Linked DNA regions of Callithrix jacchus. The protein of the gene in region 1 purifies or fractionates together with the protein of each later gene. This does not show direct contact. Links are inferred from orthologs where the notes say so. Each region holds a gene or a part of one and is shown on either strand. Other genes may lie near its edges. The genes, in order: CDKN2A, CDK5RAP3, UBE2I, TOP1, CUL2 and CCND1.

Region 1 (4,250 bases):
CACCATTCTACTCTCTACTTCGAAATATTAAATTGTTTTATATTTCACGAATAAGTAAGAACATGTGATATTTGTCTTTCCGTGTTTGGCTTATTTCATTTAGCACAATGCTCTCCAATTCCAAAACTTCAATTCCTTCAAATATAAAACAAGATGGCTAGTCTTAATTAGTCCTAAAATTCCTTTCTGTCGTAGGCTGAATAATGCCCTGTCCCCACAAATATCTATGCCCCAATCCTCAACAGCTGTTAATATATTACCTTAGGTGGCAAAAGAGGCTTTGTAGATGTGATTGAATTAATGGTCATGAGGGCGATTATCTGGAATTTTCAGTGTAAGCCCAACATAACCCCAAGTGTTTTTATTAGAGGGTCACAGTCAGAGAGAAAATATTAGAATCAGAGGCCAGAGAGAAAATACAGGGGCCATGATCTAAGGAATTTGATGGTCACCAGAAGCTGGAAGAGACAAGAAAACAGATTCTGCCTTAGAGTTTCCAAAAGGAATGCAGCACTGTGGACCCATTTTTGACCTCTGATCTCTAGAACTATAAAATAATAATTTTGTGTTTGCTTTACTACTACATTTGTGATAATTTGTAACAGTAGCAATAGGAAACTTAAACACTTTCCAGGTTTATAATTTGAGAGTTCATTAAATAAGAGATGGTCACTTCTTTGGTTCCTAAATCATCTTGAAAACAAAGCCATTTCCAAAGAGGAATTTTAAAACACTGTCTGCAGTCATAGCAACCTTAAAATTTGAGTATTATGTGGTAGATGATAGTAGAAGCAGATAATTTATTTTGAGATAACTGTTATTTGTTATATCAGCTTGAGGATGGTGGTGTTATAAAGAAGAATTATTTATTTTTAGGCACATTTTGTATTAAACACAAATTGTATAATTTGCCTAAATCAAAGAATTATACTAAATTATACTGTAGTTACTAAATCCTGTCCTAAGAAAGTGAAACTGAGTTATTTTTCAAGGAGACAAAGAGAAAGTACAAGAAACCAAATTGCAGCTACAAAAAGACAAAATATTGCAGTAAATTTATTGTTTTGTGTGTTCAATGAAGTCCTTCATTTCGGTCATAAAACTAGTCTTAATGGTTTTTCTTATATTTCATAGTATGAAAAATCTAAAAAGTAACCCATATGTAATTATTTAAATCATGATAGAAATCCAAAGCAAAAAGAAAATGAATCAATTGAATGAAAATGTGTAGGATGCTTAAACACATTTAATAAGAAATTAATATGAATTTAGTACTTAAAAATGTTATACAAATAAGTTTCTATATTAAGCATCAATGTAGTTAGGATTCTAAGCCAACGTCATTTCCCCTTTTCTACATGTTCTTCTCCCTTCCCCATTAAAAATTGTCAAAACTATCCACTTTTCTTTTCCCTTTTTGCTTATAAACAAATAAGGTCTCTTCTACAATATTTTAGGGCTACAATGCCAAACTTCCAGGTCCAAGCTGCTGTTACAATTTTAGAGATGCAAAGATACCCAGGCATTAATTACTTTTAAATCATCCCCTAACCCCTCACAAAACTGGAGTGGGGAGAGGAGAAACACTACTTTTCAAAAATGAGGAAATGAAAAATCTCTAAAACTCTATCACAAATAAATTATATCAAGAAAGCTAAAGATAGCAAAAACAGCAAAAATGTCAGCAGATAATCCCAAAATGGTAACTACATATTACATCTGGTGTGATCACATGAATGTGATTCATTATATGCATCTATCTATCTGTATTTCCTAAGTTCCTACAGCAAACATATATTTTTGCCCTACTCACTTAAAAATAAACACAACATGTAGTTGCTTCGGAATAATTTCTTTCTTTTCTTTTATTTATCGGACTTTCACCCTTTCACCCAGGCTGAAGTGCAGTGGTGTGATCTCGGCTTACTGCAACCTCCGCTCCTGCCTCAGCCTCCCGAGTAGCTGGGATTACAGGCGTTTACGACTATGTCTGGCTGATTTTTGTATTTTTAGTAGAGACGGCGTTTCACCATGTTGGCCAGGCTGGTCTCCAACTCCAGACCTTGTGGTCCGGCCGCCTCGGCCACCTAAAGTGCAGGGATTACAGGCGTGAGCCACCGCAGCCGGCCGCTTCTGAATAATTTCGATCATAAATTTATATTCGATATTTATTCCAACATACACGATAGATTATTACTGATAATACCTCCTAGCAAGAAAGATAAGCTCCATCCAGGATTCTGTGAATTCAGGGCTAAATAGTTCCAGTACATCCTACATTTCTTTAAGACTCGCGTTTTATCCCAAACGTTTGTAAATTTTGTATCTGATAAAGAGCATACCTCCATCTAATACAAATATTTCCCCCCTCTTCAGATCCTTACAGCATTCCAGAGATCTGCACGCGCGGGCCTCCTCAATCCTTCCGTGGCTTCCCAGGGCCCCCAGAAGACCAGGTCTTTGATTACAGACCTCTTCTGAAAACTGCGCAGGAAGCCTCTCTTTTTCCAGAATAAAAGCGCTACTTGATTCCCCTGCAAATCTCGTCCTCCAGAGTCGCCTATCACCCCCTGCTCCCGCTACAGGCCCTGTACCCACCTGGATCGGCCTCCGACCGTAACTATTCGGTGCGTTGGGCGGCGCCCCCGCCTCGAGCAGCGCCCGCACCTCCTCTACCCGACCCCGGGCCGCGGCCGTGGCCAGCCAGTCCGCGGAAGGTTCCATGCTGCTCCCGGCTGCTCGCTCCCCGCTCTCCCTCTCTCCGCTCCTGCAGCGCTCTCGCGGCCCGCACTGCAGTCTCGAGACCAGCCCGCCCCTCCTCTTTCTTCCACCCGGGAGGGCGGGCGGAAGAGCCCCCACCCCCAACACCCGGGACGCTGTCCCTCGACTCCTCCGGCGGAACGGCTATATCTTTCCAGGCGGGGGGGCGCCGTTCGCTAGTCCTCCGAGGAGGTGCTATTCACTCGCTGCGAAGGTGGCACCCCTGAAGCCGCCCCAAGGTGGGTCTGCCCCGGGGGCACCAGCCGGAAGCGGCCCTCGCCCGCCGGAGCCCAGAGGCGGCGAGGAAAGGCTGGACTCCTCCCCACCTGCTCCTACACCGCCCTTCGGCAGCCCTGCTCCCGGCCTTGCTACCCCGCCTTCCCAGCAACCGCGCGTTTTCGTCTCAGAGCAAAAAGAAATTTCGCACCCCCCACACCCCTCCCCCTGCCCACGTTTCCTTCCTCCACGGTACAACCTTCCTAACTGCCAAATTGAATCAGGGTATTTGGAGTCACAGGGAAAGTATGGCTTCTTCTTTTACTCATAAGAAAAAGCAAAACTATTCTTTTCTGTTTGTGAGAGCCCAGCGAGGATCAAAATCACCTGTGCGACTGGGAAGCGTCCCCCTACCCTCTCAACCCTTGATTTTCGAGAGCGCCGGGTTCACTAAGTCAGAAATCCTAGTTCAAAGGATTCCTTTTGGAGAGTCGGCCTGCTCTCTCCTTCCCTGCCCCTTCCCCTCCTATGTGCAAAACGGCTGTCTAGGGCGTGGATTTCTCACACATGTGCATTGCCTGGTATAAGGGCAGACTCTGAAAAAATGAGGTTTGCTTAATACGACAGGAGAGAATTGTGCCACGGACAGGGGAGAATTGTACCAATGGGGAGGGAGTACTGGAAGGACGGATTCCATTCTGAGTAAGTCATAATTCCTAGACCAGAAGAAGTGCTCAGTGTTCTAGAGGCAGAGTTGCACAGTGATTCAAAGATCAGCTTTACACACTGTTCTGTCTCCTTCACACGCACATTTCCCCTTCCCACTGAAAATACCTTGCATTCTTTTTTTTAGTTATAAAGGGGTAGGGGAATATGAGTGCCCCCTGCTTTACAGGAGTTGTTGTGAATTTAAATGAATTGATGTATTAATACATATGAACCTTAAGAACAGTGCCGCATACCCTAAGCTAATAATACCTGTTATCTCTTGAATTGTCCATTTTGAGGATTGGCTTGCAATTCTGTGCTTTTTTTTAATTTAAATTTTATTATATGCAATTCTGTTTTGAGGCATGAAAAGAAAATGGTTTGGAGCTGGGCGTGGTGACTCACGTCTGTAATTCCAGCACTTTGGGAAGCCGAGGCAGGTGGATTACCTGAGGTCAGGAGTTGGAGACCAGCTTGGCCAAAATGGTGACACCCTGTCTCTACTAAAAATACAAAAATTAGCGAGGCATGGTGGCGCACGTAATTCCAGCTACTCAGGAGGTTAA
Region 2 (3,500 bases), on another chromosome or scaffold:
TCAGCTGAGCTACTCCCTTGTTATTTAGCCACCAGGGCTGGCCTTTAGAGAGAGAGCAATTTTTATTTGAGGTATAGTTGCTGGCTTCTTCCACCATGAAATGATCAAAGGAAAAGCTACACACTAAAGTTACTGGCAGTATATTACACATGAATCAACTACCAGCAGTGGCCAGAGTAGGTGAGGAAGATATTGTAGTTCTCAAAGTCCTGTCTCTTGCTTTCCAGACATTCACTACTTTCACTGCCTAAGAATCGTGGACCTTCTCAAAGGCACAGAGGCCTCCACGAAAAATATTTTTGGTCGATATTCTTCACAGCGGATGAAGGCAAGTGTGGGCCAAGGGCTGTTAGTATGTGGCTGGGGACTTCCAGTCCAATGAGTCATCGCCTCTGTGGTCTCTCTCAGGCTCCAGTGGAGATGCCTACATACAATATTTTCTGAACTTTTGCTCTGTCTCTGTAGTTTATTCCAAAAGTAGATCCTACTCCTGAATTTAATTTTCAGACCCATTACTTTGGGGATCACCTGCACTCTTAAAGTGGTTGGTCCAGCCAGCAGTATAAGTTGAAAGAAGGACAAGGAATTTGTGTTTAATGTGATGTGAAAGCTGGGAGAACTTCCCCTGTTTAGGGATTGAGCTGGGATGTGGCTGTTGAGTGCTTTTCTGGCTTAACATCCTCTTTCTGTTCTTACTCAGGATTGGCAGGAGATCATAGCCCTGTATGAGAAGGACAACACCTATTTAGGTAAAGTGGCCCAGCCTGGGAGCCCTGGTATCTGTGGGGAAGCCCACTTCCAGAGTCCTGAGATACCAGGTTTATAGGAGGCACAGTCTGTGAGTGGGAAGAAGCTGGAGTGTAGATGTTGCCTATTTGTAGGTGGTAAAATCAATTGGTTTTGATGGAATTGATTTTCCCACCCACAGATTGATTTTCCACTGGGTGGAATGCTGGGGGAAGGAGGAGGCCGGAAGTGGGCATTCGCCATGCCTCAGCAAGCAGGTGTGTGTGTGGGTCCTCCACCACTCACCTCTTGGTAAGGAGAAGTGTGCAGCTCCTCCCACCCCATTCTACATAAGGCAGAAGAGGCACAGGTTCTCCTGGGAGCAATATCAAGTGCCTAACTTGTGTTTGGATTGGGTTTAGTATAAATAATAATAATGGCTAATATTTACTGAGCACCTACTAAATGCAAGGAATTGTGCTTGGTGTATCATGTGGATTATCTTTTGCATTTTCACAATAAATGTTATTGTCACTGTTTTACAGATCAGGGTTGGATTAGAGGGGTTAATTAACTTGTCTTAGGCTCCACAGCTGGTAACAGGAGGGGCTGGGAAGCTGACCTCATGCTCACCACCACCACAAAGCGTGTGTGTGCATCCTGGGACATGTCTACCTCATGTGAGGGTGTCCTGGGCTGAATTTCCTGGGCCCTTCTCAGTGGAACTCTCTAGCCTCCTGGTTCGGAATGTCAACTATGAGATCCCCTCACTGAAGAAGCAGATTGCCAAGTGCCAGCAGCTGTGGCAGGAATACAGCCGCAAGGAGGAGGAGTGCCAGGCAGGGGCTACCGAGATGCGGGAGCAGTTCTACCACTCCTGCAAGGAGTATGGCATCATGGTGAGCAGTGGTGGCCTCTTTGCAGCCAGAGGACACCTGGGCCCCTGTCTGTCTTCCTCTGACCCTGTCTGATCCCTCAGCCCAGTTGTGCCTCCTCTGGGCCAGGGTCTCACTTTTCTCCAGTCTTTGGATGTTTTATTCAGTCTGTTGTACTCCGCCTCTCACCACTTCTGTCTCAGTTCCCCTCTTCTTCCCTCTCTAGGGTGAAAATGTCCGAGGAGAATTGCTGGCCCTGGTGAAGGACCTGCCAAGTCAGCTGGCTGAGACTGGGGCAGCAGCTCAGTCCCTGGGGGAAGCCATCGACCTGTACCAGGCCTTTGTGGGGTTTGTGTGTGAGAGGTAAAGAGGCCTCAGTTTCTCCTGGTGGGCTCATTTTGCCTGTGTTCCCCAGCTCATGTCTGTGAACCTGTGGGGGCCTTGCACATTTGACCATGTGACCCAGGCCAAAGCCCAGTGTTGGCCTCATGCATGGTCGGCAGGAGAGTTAGTTGTGTGCTCTGTTGAAGCTCCACAGAGCAGGTGTTGCCAATGCTGCAGTTCGTGCAGAAGCGGGGAAATTCAACGGTGTATGAGTGGAGGACAGGAACAGAGCCCTCTGTGGTGGAGCGACCCCACCTTGAGGAGCCTCCTGAGCAGGTGGCAGAAGATGCGGTAAGATGGGCCTTGTGATGAGCTGTGGGAGAAGAGTGGGACCTACTTGTTTCCTCCCCACCCCCAACAGCCCAACCCAAGACCTGGATTCAGAGTCCCAGAGGGAAGAAAGGGGGTTTTGTGTGAGAGTGACTGTAGGTACAAGGGCCCAGGAGGCCCTACTCCCTTACTTTTATTTTTCTGAGTATGTATTTTTCTTTTTCTTTTTTTGAGACAGACTCTCACTCTCTTGCCCAGGCTGGAGTACAGGCACAGTCTCAGCTTACTGCAACCTCTGCCTCCCAGGTTCAAGTGATTCTCCTGTCTCAGCCTCCTGAGTAGCTGGGATTATAGGCGTGCGCTACCCCACTCAGCTAATTTTTCTATTTTTAGTAGAGATGGGGTTTCACTGTGTTGGTCAGGCTGGTCTGAACTCCTGACCTGGTGATCTGCCTGCCTCAGCCTCCCAAAGTGCTGGGATTACAGGCAGGAGCCACCACGCCGGCCCTAAGTATATATTTTTCTCTGTGAGTGCTGCAGAGGCTTTGCAAGGTGGTTCGCTTTGAACTCGGAACCTCCATCATGCGATCTTTCTGAAGATGGGCTTTCTTTGGGGGAGCTTAGAGGCCACTGTATTTGAACAGTGTGCTCTCTACAGAAGCAACTGAGGCCTATGGGAAGGCAGCCCCACCCTCCTTTTTTAATTAATTTATTTTTGAGACTGGGCCTTGCTCTGTTGCCCAGGCTGGAGTACGGTGGCATGATCTTGGCTCACTGCAACCTCTGCCTCCCATCCTCAAGTGATCCTCCCAAGTCAACCTCCCTAGTAGCTGGGACTACAGGCATGCACCACCACTCCCAGCTAATTTTTTATTAACATCTTTGTAGGGACAGGGTTTTGCCATATTGCCCAGGCAGGTCTCAAACTCCTGGGCTGAAGGGTTCCAGGGGAGCCTCCCAAAGTGCTGTGGTTACAGACATGAGCTACCATACCCAGCCCTTTTTAAATTCATCTTTCATGAGCTAACACTCTCTTTCCGTTTCTAGATTGATTGGGGCGACTTTGGGGTGGAGGCAATGTCTGAGGGGACTGACTCTGGCTTCTCTGCCGGGGCTTCTGGAATTGACTGGGGCATCTCCCTGGAATCAGACTCAAAGGTGAGGAGGCCCTCTTAGTCCATCTCTCTGATCACTACACTAACCATAAGACAAGTGTAATTTCTGTCTGTAAAGGCATCACTTGAA
Region 3 (3,500 bases), on another chromosome or scaffold:
GAGGGTGGGTGCCACGGTGGAATGCTTGTGTGCCTCGACTGACAATCACAGGGGAAAGCTTTTTCAACTGTCGCCTCACCATGGCCAGGCGCTCTCTAGGTGCTGGGTGCATTGACGCGTGGAACTCACTGGACACCACCTGCCGACTGCCAGCTATGGGAGGGCGGGGACCCGGCGGCCCTCTCCTCCCTCCTGAGCTTTGCTGCACTGGCTGGCTGAGGTCATCAGCTTAGCTATGGGCAGGATCTGGGGCCTGGCCACAGCCTTTCTTCCCATGCTTCCTCTGCTGTCACCTGCTCTATACCTGCTCAGGCTGCAGACGCAGCCACGGTGGGGACAGACCGTAAGAGACCACACAGCAGGAGCAGTAAGAAGGTGGACCGACAGAACTCCTCAGAGGGTGAGACTGCATGGCAGTCCCTCTGCACATCCATCCATCCAGGGCAGGGTCGTGCGGTCACCAAGTCCTCTGTCCTCAGTGAGGCTCCAGGCACTCCCAGTCCAGGAGCTCCGGCCTGGCTCTCAGTCCCTCCGTGCACAAGACTCTGGAGCTTCCCAGCCCATTAGCCAGGACAAGACTAAACCTACTGTGTGCACCGCCCGGCCCCGGAGCTGGAAACAGACTCAAATCTGCAGCCCAGCCGGGATCAAGAATCAAAGGCGACCTCCCGGTCTGTGATCTCCCTCCCAGCTCCACGCAGACCACCCAGCCCAGGGCGCCACGGCCGCAGCCAGGGGTGCCTTCCAGGGCACTGAATGGCGAGGTACTCACATTTCGGTGGTGAAGATGGATAGTCATCTTTGAAAAGCATCCGTAGTTTAAACAAGCCTCCTTCCCACGGAGTCTAATGGGAAATAAACCGTGGTGAGATGAGCTGCTCGCCCGCACAGGGCGGCCCAGGAGGAAGGGGCCTGCTTCTCAGGCACAGCCCCCAGGACACCAGGGGCCAGAGGCCCAACAGAGGTAGCTCCTAAACCAGCCTGCAGCCTGGAACAGCCTCAACAAGAGGGCTGTCAGGACCTCTGCTGTGCCCAGAGTAAGTTGGAAAGGAGTGGAGGCGGGAGGTGGGGGCCGGGCTGGGGGCAGAGCACCGCACACTGGGGCTGGCACAAGGGCACCAAGAGCACAGCATTGCCCTCACCCCAGGGGTGTTCCCAAGCACCCACCCCCATCCCGCCTGGACGAGGCACCTCTGCCGCCCACGACCCCACACCACCTTCCACCTTCCTTGGCGCTGTGCACCAGCCTCGCCCTAACGTGAGGGGCAAGGACGTCCTCATCAGAGCCTCGGACAAGTGACGAACCCAAGCCACGCTATGTCTCGGGCAAGGCAGAGTCCTGGGGGCTGCTGAGCTCAGGGGACCAGAGCTGCTCTGAGTTTCACAGAAACCCAGAGCGGGGCCAGAGCCGGAGGGAACGAGGCCTTAGGCAGGACCAGCACCTCAGGGGTCTCTCCGCTCCCTTCGGAATCAACAAGCATGAACTGCACGTGCACCGCAGCCTGGAGTCCCCGGCCAGGCGCTTCACGTGCGCGGGCCAAAGAAGACAGGCACATGGGCTGTGCTGCCTGCCAGGGACACACAGGGGTCCCCAAGCAGGACGCCCAGGCAGACGCCGCCGGTCCCTGGGGGGTCTCCAGGAGGCGGCTTTACGCAGGGCTGGCTCCCCCTACAAACCCGCTCCCGAAAGCTGAGCCACACGCTGAAGGACGCAGCCGAATCCTGAAGGACTCCTGCCTCTCCACCTGCTCTCAACCTCGCCTGTGCAGCTCTGCGTTCCCAACACACATCAGAGCCCCTCCCTGCTGCCACAGCTCAGCCTTGTGCCCGGCCAGGTGCCAGCCTGCTTCCTTCTCAACCAGAACTGCCCTGGGAGGGGATACAGCTGTCAAACCTTGCCAGTCCCACCTTCTGCGTTCACGTCCCGATGGGGCAGGGGCCAGGACAGAGCTGGGATTTGACCTGTGACAAGGATGGCTGTCACGGACGGCAGGGATCTGAGTGGTTTCCCTGTGGTGCTGGGCCCCGCCAGGCGGAGGCCGGCAGCGTGCGCCTCTTACCCCTTTCTTTCCTGGAATGGCGCACTCCCAGTTCATGAGGTTCATCGTGCCATCGGGGTTTTTTGTTGGGACAGCCACGAAACCCTGAGAGAAAACAATCACAAAAGCCCATCAGCGCGGTGGCATCATTTCACCAAGATCACCGAGAACCCGCCTGTGAGTCCCAGTGGCTGGGCACAGGCACGTGGCCGGCTCCCTTCCGGCAGGGACGTGACAGTTTCAACCCGGGAGACTGCCCACTGCGCTGCACACGGACATGAAGCTCTCCTTACAAACGGGTGGTCTTTTCTCCACGCTTTCCTCTCCTGAGCGAGTCTGCTGAGGGCGATCCCCGACATGTTCAGAGTCCCTGCAACACAGGAGGCAGAGCACGCCATCAGGAGAGGCGACGCAGGCTCCTGCTGCCCGATCACGCGCACACCGGCGCGCAGCAGGTGGACCTGCTCCAACACCTGCTGGCCCAGCTCAGCAGGACTCTTCTGCAAGCCGCTGTCCAACCCTGGGGTCCACCAGGGGAGGCTTTGTGAGTGGCTCCCAGATCACCTGCCGGGGTGGGGGGCAGGTAAGATCCCTTCCCTGTGCCCACCCCCACCATGCCCCCATCTGTGGCACATGGTGTGGCCTCTGCTCCATGGGGACAAAACAGACATTCAGAGACTAGGTGGTAGCTGCCACCCTGTGGTGGCTGGCATGGCAGGGTCCCCACCACACCACCAGGTGGGGAATAGGCAGGGCTGGGTCCCCAGGTGTGTGTGGGGTACTGGGTCCCTGACTTAGTATTGGGCACTCAGAACTGAGACATCGGCCAGTGGACTCCTGTTATTCTTGAAGACAGGACGGAAGAAGCACCAGAGGGCAGAGGCTCAGACTTGCTGTGGGAGGAGCCCCCACAGGGCCACCCTTCCCAGACCCCACAGCCACTACCGCAAACCTGTGGCTTCAGGGGACAGCCGGGTCCTGCCGGGCAGAGCAGAGCTCGGCATAGGGGACCAGATCCCTGGCCAGACGAAGTGGCACACATTTGGATGGGAGCTCAGGGGCCGGGCACCTTTGCCTTATGGCTCTAGGTGGGAGCATGCTGGACCGCACTGTCGCCGCAGGAGGGCTGCAGATCCAGGGAGATGTTCCTGGCGCTGAGGACACCAGGGGGCGGGGCCCGCAGCCTCAACGCCACCCTCGACGGTCACCCTGCTGGTGGCCACCTTTACTCACGGAAACAGCACTCTGTTTACCGACTTGCTGGAGAATCGAAACCTAAGTGTGTGCTGGTTAGCAAAGTCCACAGGGACGCTGCAGCCGCCCTCAACTCTGGTGTTTCAGCACCAAAGGGGGGCACCTCTGTGGAGCTGAGGACTCCGCCAGGCCTTCTACGCTGTAGGGGGGCCGTCCTAGGTGGGCACAAGGGCCCTGGTGACCTGGATGGTGTGGGACCCGTGGAGG
Region 4 (3,500 bases), on another chromosome or scaffold:
AATTTGAGCCAACAGTCATAAGAAAATAGGAAGTTAATATGTAAGCTTGGCCTGGGTAAATTCCCATCACAAGAGGAACTCTGAGGTAATATAATAAAATCTACACCTTTCTTTTTACTCAGAGAACTTGGCTAGGGACCCTTCATCTCCTTGCTTCCTCCCTACCCATATGCTTGTCATAGGTGCTGCTGCTATTATTACTATGGTTTGTTGCCCATATTCATTAAGTTCTATACTGGCCACTCCCTGCCTCCCTGCCTCCCTATCTCTCTACCCAATGTAGCCTGAACAAAATGAGGAACTGAAGAGATGTTAAAAGTTAAAAAAATTTAAGCTATGAGTGGTAGTATTATTATGATTATTATTATTTTAGAGATTGGGTCTTACTCTGTCACCCAAGCTGGAATGCAGTGGTATGGTTGTGGCTATTGCAGCCCTAAACTCCTGGACTCAGCCTCCCAGGTATCTGGGACTACCACTACACCTGCCTAATTTTTACAAATTTTTGTAGAGATGAGGTCTCACTATGTTGCCCAGGCTGGTCTGGAACACTGCTGGGTGCAAGTAAGTCTCCTGCCACAGCTACCCAAGTGCTGGGATTACAGGTGTGAGCCACTGCACCTGGCCTGGTAGTATATTATTTAAAAAGAAAAATTGTAAATGTCATCCAAAAAAATTGTTTTTACTTGTATAAACAGTGTCGCATTCTTTCTATCACCTTAAAACACTGACCTGAACATACCTACCTCTGGCTTTTCTGGTTCATATTCTAAGGCCATTTGACGTATTTACAGAGGGCAGTGGAAATTCATTAGTGACTGGGCTCCAGGAAAAAAAAAGTCCGTGATCTTGGTGATAATATTCTAAAAATTGGCTATAGAAAGTATCTACTCTCTTACAGGGAAAAAAAATGATAGAAACTTTAGGGAAAGGACTTATCCCTGTATCTTTCTCATAAACATGACAACTTTACTCTCTTCAATTTAACAGAACATCACAGCACTGCCTTCACTCTGTGAGCTTTTAAGTAATATATTAATAAAACACAAATGCAGGTATTTTCATAGCAGGTAAAAAGCTGTCAGCAATCCATGAAATTAATCTTGAAGTTGGGGTGGGAAGGGGGAAACAGCACTGATCTTAAGTTTATACAACTAAGCATTAGCTAACTATTAGAGGTCTAAAGAGGAAAAGTGTCTGATCACAATGGTAGGGAAAAAAAAGTAGAACTGACTCTAGGACTTAGCTAAGCAAGGACACCGGATACCATGAGTAGGGGTGTGGGCCCTGTCCAGCCAAGTAATACTTACGGGCTGTGAGTTCTTTTAACTGCTGTTGTAGCGTGATGGAGGCGTTGTATGTACGGAATACCTTGGCTGTTAAGCCCTCCATGAGATCCTGAAGATGCTTATTTAGAATACCAGTCTGGAGGAGACAATGTAACAGAGACTTAGGTCAAAGCTGTACTACCTGCTCCTTCTGGCAGCCCTAGGAGTAATTTATACCAGTGCAGTCACAATCGTGTCAAGTTTATTTCCCTACAAGTGAGAAGTTAGGAAAAGAATTCCAGAATACAGGGTTACATAATGCCTCTCTATGAAGTATTTCAGTGTGCATGTGTGTGTACGTATGTCAGGGTCTCATTCTGACACCCAGCCTGGAGTGCAGTGGTGCAATCTCGGTTCACTGCAGCCGTCACCTCCTGGGCTCATGAAATCCTCCTGATGCTCCTAAGTAGCTGGGACTATAGGCATGGACCACCACGCCTAGATAATGATTTTGCCATGTTACCCAGGCTGGTCTCAAACTCCTGACCTCAAGGGATCTGCCCTACTTGGCCTCCCAAAGTGCTGGGATAACAGGCGTAAGCAACCAAGCCTGGCCCAGTATTTTGATCTTAACAGACCAATAAAGCAAATTTGTCCTTCCCTATCAAGATCTCAGGCACAGGTTTTGGGTCTCCAGTAGGGATGGCTGGGCATTCAGTGAAGGGAAAGCTCTGCAGGAGCAGGGAAGGGATAAAAGGTAGGGTTCATCTACTCTCACCTTGAGGGCCTTAGCATTTGTTCTACAGCAGATGTGTCTTCTCTTGGCCACAGATTCACCGTGGGCTTGGAGGGAGGAAGAGAGAGTATACAGGATGCCACAGAGCAGGCCAGGCTAAAGGAAGAGCCCGTTATCTGCCAGCAACCCTCCCCTTGAGGTTCTGGCTGGGAATCCCTTCAACCCAGTGTGCTTTGTCTACTCACATTGAGTCTATCAAAAAGATCATCCTCAGGCTGCTTGTTCTCCATAAATAGTTGTAAGTTCTTAAAAACCTAAAAGAAATAAGTGAATCCCAATTATTACTCTTTTAAAAAAATCCTTACATTAGAAATAATCCCAAACTTACAGAAACTTGCAAAGAAAAAAAAGGCACAGGAACATGCATACATCCTTCACCCAGATTCACTGTTAACCTTTTACCTCATTCATCATTTGCACAGGGCACATGTATGCTCACTCTCTCCGCATGTATATTTACAGATATATATACATAATTATTTGCTCTGGGCCATTTATAAGTACTTACTTATCATACAGTCCTTTAACCCTAAATATTTCAGTTTGTACATTGTAAAAATAGATATACCCTTACATTTACACAGTATTTATCAGCTTCAAAAATTTACATTGATACCTACTGTTATCTAATCTACTGTCCACAATCCAATTTTGTCACTTTATCTGATGATGCCCTTTACTTCATCAGTATAGAATCCAATCTGAGGTCAGGCATTACATTTAATTGTCAAATCGCTTTAGCATCTAATAGAGTACTCTTCCACGGCCAGCAAAGTCTAATTACTGATTAAATCTGAGACTGCTGCTGGGCTGGATTATTAGTATCCTGCACACTACAGGTCTCTGGTTCCAGCCCAATACTTTGGAAAAGATCAGGTTGGGACTATGGAGCTCTAGCACCCTCTTCAGTGGTGGGATCTGGGGACTAACAGATTAACCTTTCACTCAGTCAGGAGTTGGAGAGAGGCTAAGTAAAGATGCCAAGTGACAAATGTCCTTATCAGAAAGGTAATACAGGGTGGGACAGTGACTAAAAGGAGGTACACAAGACATCAAATATTACCTCTCCCCTCTTTCAAGTCATTTATTTATTTTAATTTTAGAGGCAGGGTCTCACTCTGTTGGCCAGGCTGGAGTACAATGGATATTCACAGGTGTGATCAGAGCACACTATAGCCTCAAACTTTTGGTCTCCAGTGATTCTCCTGTCTCAGTCTTCTAAGTAGCTGGGACTACAGGCATGTGCTACAATGCCTGTCTCAAGTCACTTTTGCTGGTACCCAGCAAACTGCAGAGGACACAAAGCACTCAAGCAATGCTTGTTGAATAATGAAAAACAAGCCAGACAATACAGGCTAAATTAACTTACACGTTTCTCAACAGGGACCTTGTTGTAGTATCTGATGGAGTCCTTTCCAAGGAAGTCAAACTCTACC
Region 5 (3,500 bases), on another chromosome or scaffold:
TCAATAGGACTTCTTTGTTTCTTGAGACAGTCTTGCTTTGTCACCCAGGCTGCAGTGCAGTGGCACAGTCTCAGCTCACTGCAAACTCTGCCTCTGGGATTCAAGTGATTCTCCTGCCTTTGACTCCCAGTAGCTGGGATTACAGGCACATACCACCACGCCCAGCTAATTTTTGTATTTTTAGTAGAGATGGGGTTTCATCATGTTGGCCAGGCTGGTCTGGAACTCCTGAGCTCAAGAGATTTGCCCGTCTTGGCCTCTCAAAGTGTTGGGATTACAGGTGTGAGCCACCACGCCCAGCCCAAATCAATAGAACTTTGGAAGCCACGATCTACTAACAGAACCAAATGTAATCGGATATCCATTAATGAATCCTTTGTATCAAAGTACTGAAATGATTAATAAATGGTCATAGTAAAACACATACTCATACCTGTAGAACATATATTTGAAAACTAATTCCCAAATCTATTACTGTGTCTTGGTTTTTGATAAAATTGTTGAACTTATTGTTGAGATCAGCGCTGACACTCATATCTGTATACATCCGATGTAGCTTGCTGGTAAACTCATAACCACAGGCTTGCTATAAAAAAGTTTTAGAAAATATATGACTTTAAAAGAAAAACAGTAAGTCATATTGGTTAATAAGAATGTGTCACTATTGCTAGGTCTTTGGTCAAAGGTCCTTGCATTTACACTTACACCCAAGGACTAGTAATATATTCTTCACAACCCAAAGCAACTAATCAAAACCTTTCAAACTGCCTTTCTTTTTAAAGGTACATTTTAAATAGGTGAATGAAAACCACCTATCTACGAACAATAAACCTCCCCTTAAACAAAAACTTTTTAATACAGTCATCTCTTATTTCAGCACTGCAAAATGCCCCATTAATACATATAAGATACCGTATAAGGATTTTGTTATGTTTTGTTTTAAAGACACGGGGTCTCACTGTTGCCCATGCTGCAGTGCAGTAGCTACTCACTGGAGCCATCACAGTGCACTACAACCTCAAACTCCTGGGCTCAAGTAATCCTCCTATCTCAGCCTCCCAGTAGCGGGTCTCCTGGCATATGCTATAGCTGTGGGTCTTATAAGGTTTACAGACAGTATCAAATAAAAGATTACATAAATGATTACTGGGAATACTCCAGCCAATAGAAAACTGAAAAAGAGCTATTTAGGAATATTTTTAATAGCATCTACTGAGTGACAAAGAAAACTATTTCTTTCAAATTATTCAAAATTCTGTCATTACCAGGTCAGAAAATCTGAATCTCTAATCTCGAAACATAAAAAGCTGTGTTCCATTTTCTTTTGCAATTAATTAATTTATCTATTTAGAGACAGGGTCTTCCTCTGTTACTCAGGATGGAGTGCAGTGATGTGATCATGGCTCACTGCAGCTTCAACGTCCCAGCCTCCAGCAATCCTCCCACCTCAGCCACCGGAGTAACTGGGACTAAAGGCACACACCACCACACCTGGCTAACTTTTGTAATTTTGGTACAGACAGGGTTTTGCCATTTCCCAGGCTGGTCTCAAACTACCGAGCTCAAACAATCTACCACCTTGGCCTCCGAAAGTGCTAGGATTATGGGTATGAGCCACCATGCCTGACCAACACTACTTTTAGAAATTAAAAGCTAAGGTTTTTTTTGTAGGTTTAAAAAGGAGCACACAGCAACTGGAAGCAATGGTACACGCCTGTTGTTCCAGCTGCTCAGGAGGCTGAGGTGAGGGGATTGCTTGAGTCGAGGAGTTAGAGCGAGCCTGGGCAACATAGGGAGACCCTATCTCTTATAAAAAGAAAAAGGAGCACATATTATATTCAAAATGTCTACTATGCAAAAAAATTTAATTATTGAATAACACAAGATAAGTAAGAACCTGCTACCACTTACTTGTCAGTGTATAAGCAAGCTGAAATGAGGTAAAAATAAACTGAAATGGAACTGCATTCCAAAACTGTACTTAAAGGAATATTTTACATGTATTCATTTATAAATAGCAATAATCTTTTATTGTTAATACTGATTAGCTTGTGAATCTTTTTTTTTTTTTGAGACGGAGTCTAGCTGTGTCACCCAGGCTAAAGTTCAGTGGCATGATCTCGGCTCACTGCAACCCCCACTTCCCAGGTTCAAGTGATTCTCCTGCCTCAGCTTCCCAAGTAGCTGGGATTACAGGCATGTGCCACAATGCCTGGCTAATTTTTGTATTTTTAGTAGTGATGGGGTTTCTCCATGTTGGCCAGGCTGGTCTTGAACTCCTGACCTCAAGTGATCTGCCTGCCTCAGCCTCCCAAAGTGCTGGGATTACAAGCATTAGCCACCGTGCCCAGCTGTGAATCTTCGTATAAACATATATATCTTGTTCTTTTAATACAGTATTTGTATACCCTACTGTGCGAATATATGAACATACACTGAACCAGATGAATTGTTTCCTGTTACTGCATACAATGCTGCAATGAACATCTTCATGTGCTTGTGAATGAATTTCTAGGACAGTACAGGATTAAAGACTTACATTACCTTTAATTTGTTGATCATGGCTTCTTCAGAGTCCATAGACATGGATAACCCATGAATTAAACGTTTTGCCAGCATTCTTGCATAGAACTACATTGAAAAAAATTTTTTAGGATTACTTCCTTTCTAATGATTTAGCATTCAGTAATAAAGTTGACTAAAACACAAATAAACTTTTCTGTTCACAACATACCTTTTGAAAGACGTCCTTGTCATCAATGTATTTGAACACCGTGATGAAGCTGGTGAGCCTGTCTTCCACTTCATTCTCTGTCATTCCTTTCGCCGACTTCTTCAGTAAGTTGTCACAGTACTTAGCAAGCTCAAGTAGAAATTGATAATAAATCTTACAAAGGGTGCTTCTGTATATATCACGCCTCAACCAAGGCAAAGTGGTAATACAAAATGAGTTCAATGGACAGAGTTTTTGCTGTTTTTTCAGAGACTGGGTCTTGCTCTGTGCCCAGGCTGAACTGCAGGGGACAAGATCATAGCTCACTGGGGTCTCAAACTCCTAGGCTCAAAGGATCCTTCTGCCTCAGTCTCCCAAGTAGCTCGGGCTACAGGCGTGCACAACCACACCTGGTTTCAAAAGCTCTACGTAATAATCATAAATGCAAACTAAATAAAATATACATCATAAAGTTTTTAAAAAGAACTAGAACAAGTTCCAACATTGAGTCATCACTTACTGACCAATAAAGCAACTGATATAAGTAACATACATTTTTAAAAGAACACCCAGGTGAGTTTCAAGTGGTTTTATAATTTGACATTGAAGAAGTACTTTTAAAAAATGTTACAAAAACCATGTAAAATTATGTTTCCGTCAAAGGTTACCCAAACTTTATTAGCAGATTTCCTTTAGATTTCAGATTTAACAGAATCTACATGAAAAGTAATGCAAATTATTTCAAAATAGACATGTTAAAACCCAAACTTTGTAAAATAAAATACTT
Region 6 (4,141 bases), on another chromosome or scaffold:
AAACCATTCTGGAATAATACACTAACTGCTGGCTACCTGTGTCAGAGGGTGCGCTGAAATAGGTTTGGGGGGGCTCTGCCCTCAAGGGATTGGGGGAGAAGATGCTATTGTGTCTTTGATGTCCCGGACCTTGTGGCCTGTCACCCAGAGTGAGCCCACAAACAGATGTGACAACTGAGGCTTGACCAAAAGGGGGCAGGGCCCCCCCATCAGGGTAACCAGGGAAGGAGGCGCACAGGGGGGTCAGAGGCAGGGCTGGGGACAGCAGGAGGCAGCACCCTGTGTATGCATGTGTCTATCCCAGTTGGGTCCTGGGGCCAGGGCCATGCCAGCGGAGGTGAGGACTGGGTACTTCTGCTGCCCACGGTGGCGGCCTAAGCTGAGACTGCTCTGAAGTGCTCCCCAGGGCTCAGCTGAGCCCAGCAGACTGGCGGCACCCCTGGCAGGGCCTCAGGCAGCTGAGCTCCTCTGCTGGACACCCCTGCACTCAGCTGCCCAGAACACGTGGTGCAGGCGGGCCGACAGCTCTCCCCGCCCCCGGAGGCGCCTCTGGCAAGTCGCCCAGCCTGGGAGAGGCCAGGAGGGGGCCCCCGCAGCTCAGGCTCCTTAAGGACACAAGAAGGGCTGGAGGTCGGTGGGGAAAGGAGGCGGCCCTGCGGCCAAGGTAAACCCCTTTCGGCCTGGAGGATGAGGCCACAGCATCTAGACACAGGCAGGCTGGCTGCGTGGTGGCGCGGCCGTAAGGGCAAATCCCCTTCCATCCAGCGCAAACAAGCCAGCACCTCTGCTCACCAGAGCTGGAAGAACTCTTCCCAGCGCAGGCGGGGGCCTAGGGACGTCCTCCGGGACAGCACCCAGGTGCAGAGCAAGAAGCTGGCCAGGCCACCTAAGGTGCTGGCTTTCAAGGGGAGGCTGGGGGCGGCTGGGCCTGCCCTACCTGTAGCGCAGAGGGCAACGAAGGTCTGCGCGTGTTTGCGGATGATCTGTTTGTTCTCCTCCGCCTCTGGCATTTTGGAGAGGAAGTGTTCGATGAAATCGTGCGGGGTCATGGCGGCCAGGTTCCACTTGAGCTTGTTCACCAGGAGCAGCTCCATTTGCTGCGAACACAGGGTGAGCGGCTATCAGGGGAGGTGCGGGCCGGCCTGGGGACGCGGGGAAGCCGGCAGTATGGCCCTAGCCCCTGAGTCTCGTGTGGTCCTGGGGGTGCGGGAGCAGGACTGGCGAATGCTGGGGGGTCCAGGAAGCTGGGGCAACACACGATCCCAGATCAAAACAGAAAAGGCGCCCGCCGCGTGAAAAGATTCTGCAAGTGGAAACAAAAAGACTTCCCACCACCTGGAACGGAAGGCTCAGCGTGGAGCGCGGCGTTCCCGGTGCAGCCGCTGGAGGGCGCGCGCCGCCCATTTTTCGGCCACACCGCAGAGCGCTAACGAGGTGGGAGTCGCAGGCAAGCGCGCACGGGGCGGCTAGGATCCCACCCGCTCCCAGGACGAGGACACCCGGCAAAGGGGCCGCCTGCCGCCCCTGCACCTTCCCCGGCCCGGTGGTCCTGCGGCTCGCGGGGGGCGGCGGGGGTCCCGCGGTTACCAGCAGCTCCTCGGGCTGGATGGAGTTGTCGGTGTAGATGCACAGCTTCTCGGCCGTCAGGGGGATGGTCTCCTTCATCTTAGAGGCCACGAACATGCAGGTGGCCCCCAGCAGCTGCAGGCGGCTCTTTTTCACTGGCTCCAGCGACAGGAAGCGGTCCAGGTAGTTCATGGCCAGCGGGAAGACCTCCTCCTCGCACTTCTGCTCCTCGCAGACCTGCGGGGGCACGGGGCCCGTGACCGCCGCCGCCAGGTCGCGCCACCCCCACCCCACTCCCCCGCCCTCGCATGCCCATCGCGCTCGGCAGGACCACCAGTTCTGGAGGGCGCCGAGGGGTCGGGGCCGGGGGCGGCAGAAGCTTCCTGTGATGCGCCCCCTCTCGCGCGCGTCCCGAGTATCCACCCTCCCTGAAACTGAAAGGGAAAGTCCCCGCGAGGCTGGCATGGTGGGGGCGGGAGCGGGCACAGCTGGGCGGCGGCGCGGGCTGCAGGCCCCGGGGACCCCAGCCCGCCCTGGAGCTCCGTGGCCCCTCTGGCTGTGGGTCGACACCCACTGGGGTGCGGGGCCGCGCAAAAGGCCGCGGGGTTGGGCGCCGCGCCTGCGAGACACAAAGGTGGCGTCCCAGGCCGCCGCGCCGCATTTCCCCAGACGTCATCTTTTCAAAAAATATTTAAAAATATTTAAAAAATAACTAAGTGCGTAAAAATACCCTGAAAATGACCCTCGGACGGCCCTTTACCCAGGCCGGGGGTCGGGAGTTTGTTACAGGGTCCGGGGGAAGCCCCAGGAATTCAAACTCCGGGGACCCCCTTCCCCCTGGGCGCGGGCGGTGTTTCCCTCTCGCAAGGGCACCACGCCGCACTTTCAAAAATTATTTAAAAATACTTGCGGGCCCCTCAGGCGCCTACCGAAGGTGTGAAAATGTTCTCCCAGGCCCCCGGCTCGCTCGGAGAAGGTCCCCCAAGCCGAGATCCCTGCAGACGGGGATCCAGCCCTGGCGTCTTGGGGGCCACGCGACCTTGCAGCTCGGCGTGCTCTCCGGCCCAGGCTGCCCGTGCGGGGCGCTTTGGGACTCGCTGCTTGAACAAAGGCCCCCCTTTCCCCAGCGGGGTCCCCCCAAAACTACCCATGCTGCGTCCCCGCGCCCCTCCCGCGGGCTCCGGGCAGCCGCCGGGCCCCTAGTTGCGGCCCCAGCGCCCGGCGGCCGCTCCCCGCCCCCACCCTGCCCCCAATTATTAATAAACACTTTTGCTGTGCAATAAAAGAGCAAAGATGGCGCATAATACTGGCACGAGAAGCCCTTGCATACGTGTCCATGGATAGTAATTTAAAAATCAAATCTATGCCCCCTCCCCCCGGAGTTGGAGGCTCTCGGCCGCGGCGGCCGGGAGAGGAGCCGCAGCATGGCTGGGGCGCAGGCGGGGGGCACAAAGCGCACCTAACCTGCCAGCCCGCACCCTCGGGCCCATTGGGGTGCTCCTGGCACTGGCTTCTCCTGGAGGCACCCCTCCCCGACCCCCTCCTCCCGTCCCAGGAAACGCAACTCCTAGCACCCCCACCCCCACCCCTTCCTTCTTCAGAAAATACCCACAATTTTTATTTTGAAAATACCTAGCAACACCCCGGCAAACTTCAAAGGTCTAGCGGGAGAGAAGAGAGGGGAGTGAGAAGCAAAGAAACGTGGGTATGGGCAACAAGTTGCAGGGAGGTCTTAAGAGAGCCGCCCGAAGCCCCGCACCTCCAGCATCCAGGTGGCCACGATCTTCCGCATGGACGGCAGGACCTCCTTCTGCACACATTTGAAGTAGGACACGGAGGGTGCGCAGGTCTCCTCCGCCTTCAGCATGGCCCGCAGCACCCGGTCGTTGAGGAGGTTGGCATCGGGGTAGGCGCGGCGGATGGCCTCCACTTCGCAGCACAGGAGCTGGTGTTCCATGGCTGGGGCTCTGCCTGGGCAGCTGGGGAGGGCTGTGGGTTCCGGCTGCGTCCGCGCTCGGCTCTCGCTCCTGCTGCCCCGCGCTCCCTCGCGCTCTTCTGCCCCTCGCCGGAGCGCGCGGACTCTGCTGCTCGCGGCTACTGCGCCGACAGCCCTCTGGAGGCTCCAGGACTTTGCAACTTCAACAAAACTCCCCTGTAGTCCGTGTGACGTTACTGTTGTTAAGCAGAGATCAAAGCCGGGCAGAGAATGGGAGCGGGAGGGGGCGGGGGCGGGCGCAGGGGGAGGGGGCGCGGGCGCCAAACGCCGGGAGCAGCGAGGGGCAGAGCCCAAAAGCCATCCCCGAGGCGCCGCGCCTGCCCTGCGGCGGAGTTGCCCCCGTAGTCCGGTTTTCATAGAAATGCAAATCGCCCCGCTGCAGCCTTTCTCCCCGCCAGAAAAGAGGGGTACAGGGGGCCCGGTCCGACTCGAACGGGTCCCCCGGGATTTGGGGGTGGGGTGGAGGTGGCTCTGCAGTAGGGGACAACTGGGAAGCCCCACAGGCCACACGCAGCCTAGGGAGACCACGAGGAGGGGGGACTCCGGGGCGCGGCGACACCCCATATCCAAGCCGGCAGA

Evidence for each region.
Region 2: the proteins of CDKN2A (region 1) and CDK5RAP3 purify together in Homo sapiens (affinity purification with western blotting; 3 studies listed by BioGRID). This does not show direct contact. The link is inferred for Callithrix jacchus from reciprocal best matches to the Homo sapiens genes CDKN2A and CDK5RAP3.
Region 3: the proteins of CDKN2A (region 1) and UBE2I purify together in Homo sapiens (affinity purification with western blotting; 3 studies listed by BioGRID). This does not show direct contact. The link is inferred for Callithrix jacchus from reciprocal best matches to the Homo sapiens genes CDKN2A and UBE2I.
Region 4: the proteins of CDKN2A (region 1) and TOP1 purify together in Homo sapiens (affinity purification with western blotting; 3 studies listed by BioGRID). This does not show direct contact. The link is inferred for Callithrix jacchus from reciprocal best matches to the Homo sapiens genes CDKN2A and TOP1.
Region 5: the proteins of CDKN2A (region 1) and CUL2 purify together in Homo sapiens (affinity purification with western blotting; 3 studies listed by BioGRID, with this or other methods). This does not show direct contact. The link is inferred for Callithrix jacchus from reciprocal best matches to the Homo sapiens genes CDKN2A and CUL2.
Region 6: the proteins of CDKN2A (region 1) and CCND1 purify together in Homo sapiens (affinity purification with western blotting; 3 studies listed by BioGRID and IntAct, with this or other methods). This does not show direct contact. The link is inferred for Callithrix jacchus from reciprocal best matches to the Homo sapiens genes CDKN2A and CCND1.

What each region holds. Positions count from the first base shown.
Region 1 is NC_133502.1:128,971,937-128,976,186, forward strand, and holds the start of CDKN2A (cyclin-dependent kinase inhibitor 2A), read right to left. Parts: upstream 2,801-4,250; 5' UTR 2,725-2,800; coding exon 2,599-2,724; intron 1-2,598. UniProt on the Homo sapiens protein: Acts as a negative regulator of the proliferation of normal cells by interacting strongly with CDK4 and CDK6. This inhibits their ability to interact with cyclins D and to phosphorylate the retinoblastoma protein.
Region 2 is NC_133506.1:118,316,492-118,319,991, reverse strand, and holds part of CDK5RAP3 (CDK5 regulatory subunit-associated protein 3), read left to right. Parts: intron 1-227; coding exon 228-328; intron 329-700; coding exon 701-749; intron 750-957; exon of another isoform or gene 958-988; coding exon of another isoform or gene 989-1,004; intron 1,005-1,446; coding exon 1,447-1,625; intron 1,626-1,827; coding exon 1,828-1,964; intron 1,965-2,131; coding exon 2,132-2,276; intron 2,277-3,302; coding exon 3,303-3,413; intron 3,414-3,500. UniProt on the Homo sapiens protein: Substrate adapter of E3 ligase complexes mediating ufmylation, the covalent attachment of the ubiquitin-like modifier UFM1 to substrate proteins, and which is involved in various processes, such as ribosome recycling and reticulophagy (also called ER-phagy).
Region 3 is NC_133513.1:3,569,106-3,572,605, reverse strand, and holds part of UBE2I (SUMO-conjugating enzyme UBC9), read right to left. Parts: intron 2,410-3,500; 5' UTR 2,399-2,409; coding exon 2,333-2,398; intron 2,145-2,332; coding exon 2,061-2,144; intron 846-2,060; coding exon 773-845; intron 1-772. UniProt on the Homo sapiens protein: Accepts the ubiquitin-like proteins SUMO1, SUMO2, SUMO3, SUMO4 and SUMO1P1/SUMO5 from the UBLE1A-UBLE1B E1 complex and catalyzes their covalent attachment to other proteins with the help of an E3 ligase such as RANBP2, CBX4 and ZNF451.
Region 4 is NC_133506.1:36,462,147-36,465,646, reverse strand, and holds part of TOP1 (DNA topoisomerase 1), read right to left. Parts: coding exon 3,434-3,500; intron 2,319-3,433; coding exon 2,250-2,318; intron 1,426-2,249; coding exon 1,311-1,425; intron 1-1,310. UniProt on the Homo sapiens protein: Releases the supercoiling and torsional tension of DNA introduced during the DNA replication and transcription by transiently cleaving and rejoining one strand of the DNA duplex.
Region 5 is NC_133508.1:34,659,359-34,662,858, forward strand, and holds part of CUL2 (cullin-2), read right to left. Parts: intron 2,864-3,500; coding exon 2,735-2,863; intron 2,632-2,734; coding exon 2,545-2,631; intron 587-2,544; coding exon 434-586; intron 1-433.
Region 6 is NC_133511.1:126,559,004-126,563,144, reverse strand, and holds the start of CCND1 (G1/S-specific cyclin-D1), read right to left. Parts: upstream 2,801-4,141; 5' UTR 2,718-2,800; coding exon 2,496-2,717; intron 1,804-2,495; coding exon 1,588-1,803; intron 1,098-1,587; coding exon 938-1,097; intron 1-937. UniProt on the Homo sapiens protein: Regulatory component of the cyclin D1-CDK4 (DC) complex that phosphorylates and inhibits members of the retinoblastoma (RB) protein family including RB1 and regulates the cell-cycle during G(1)/S transition.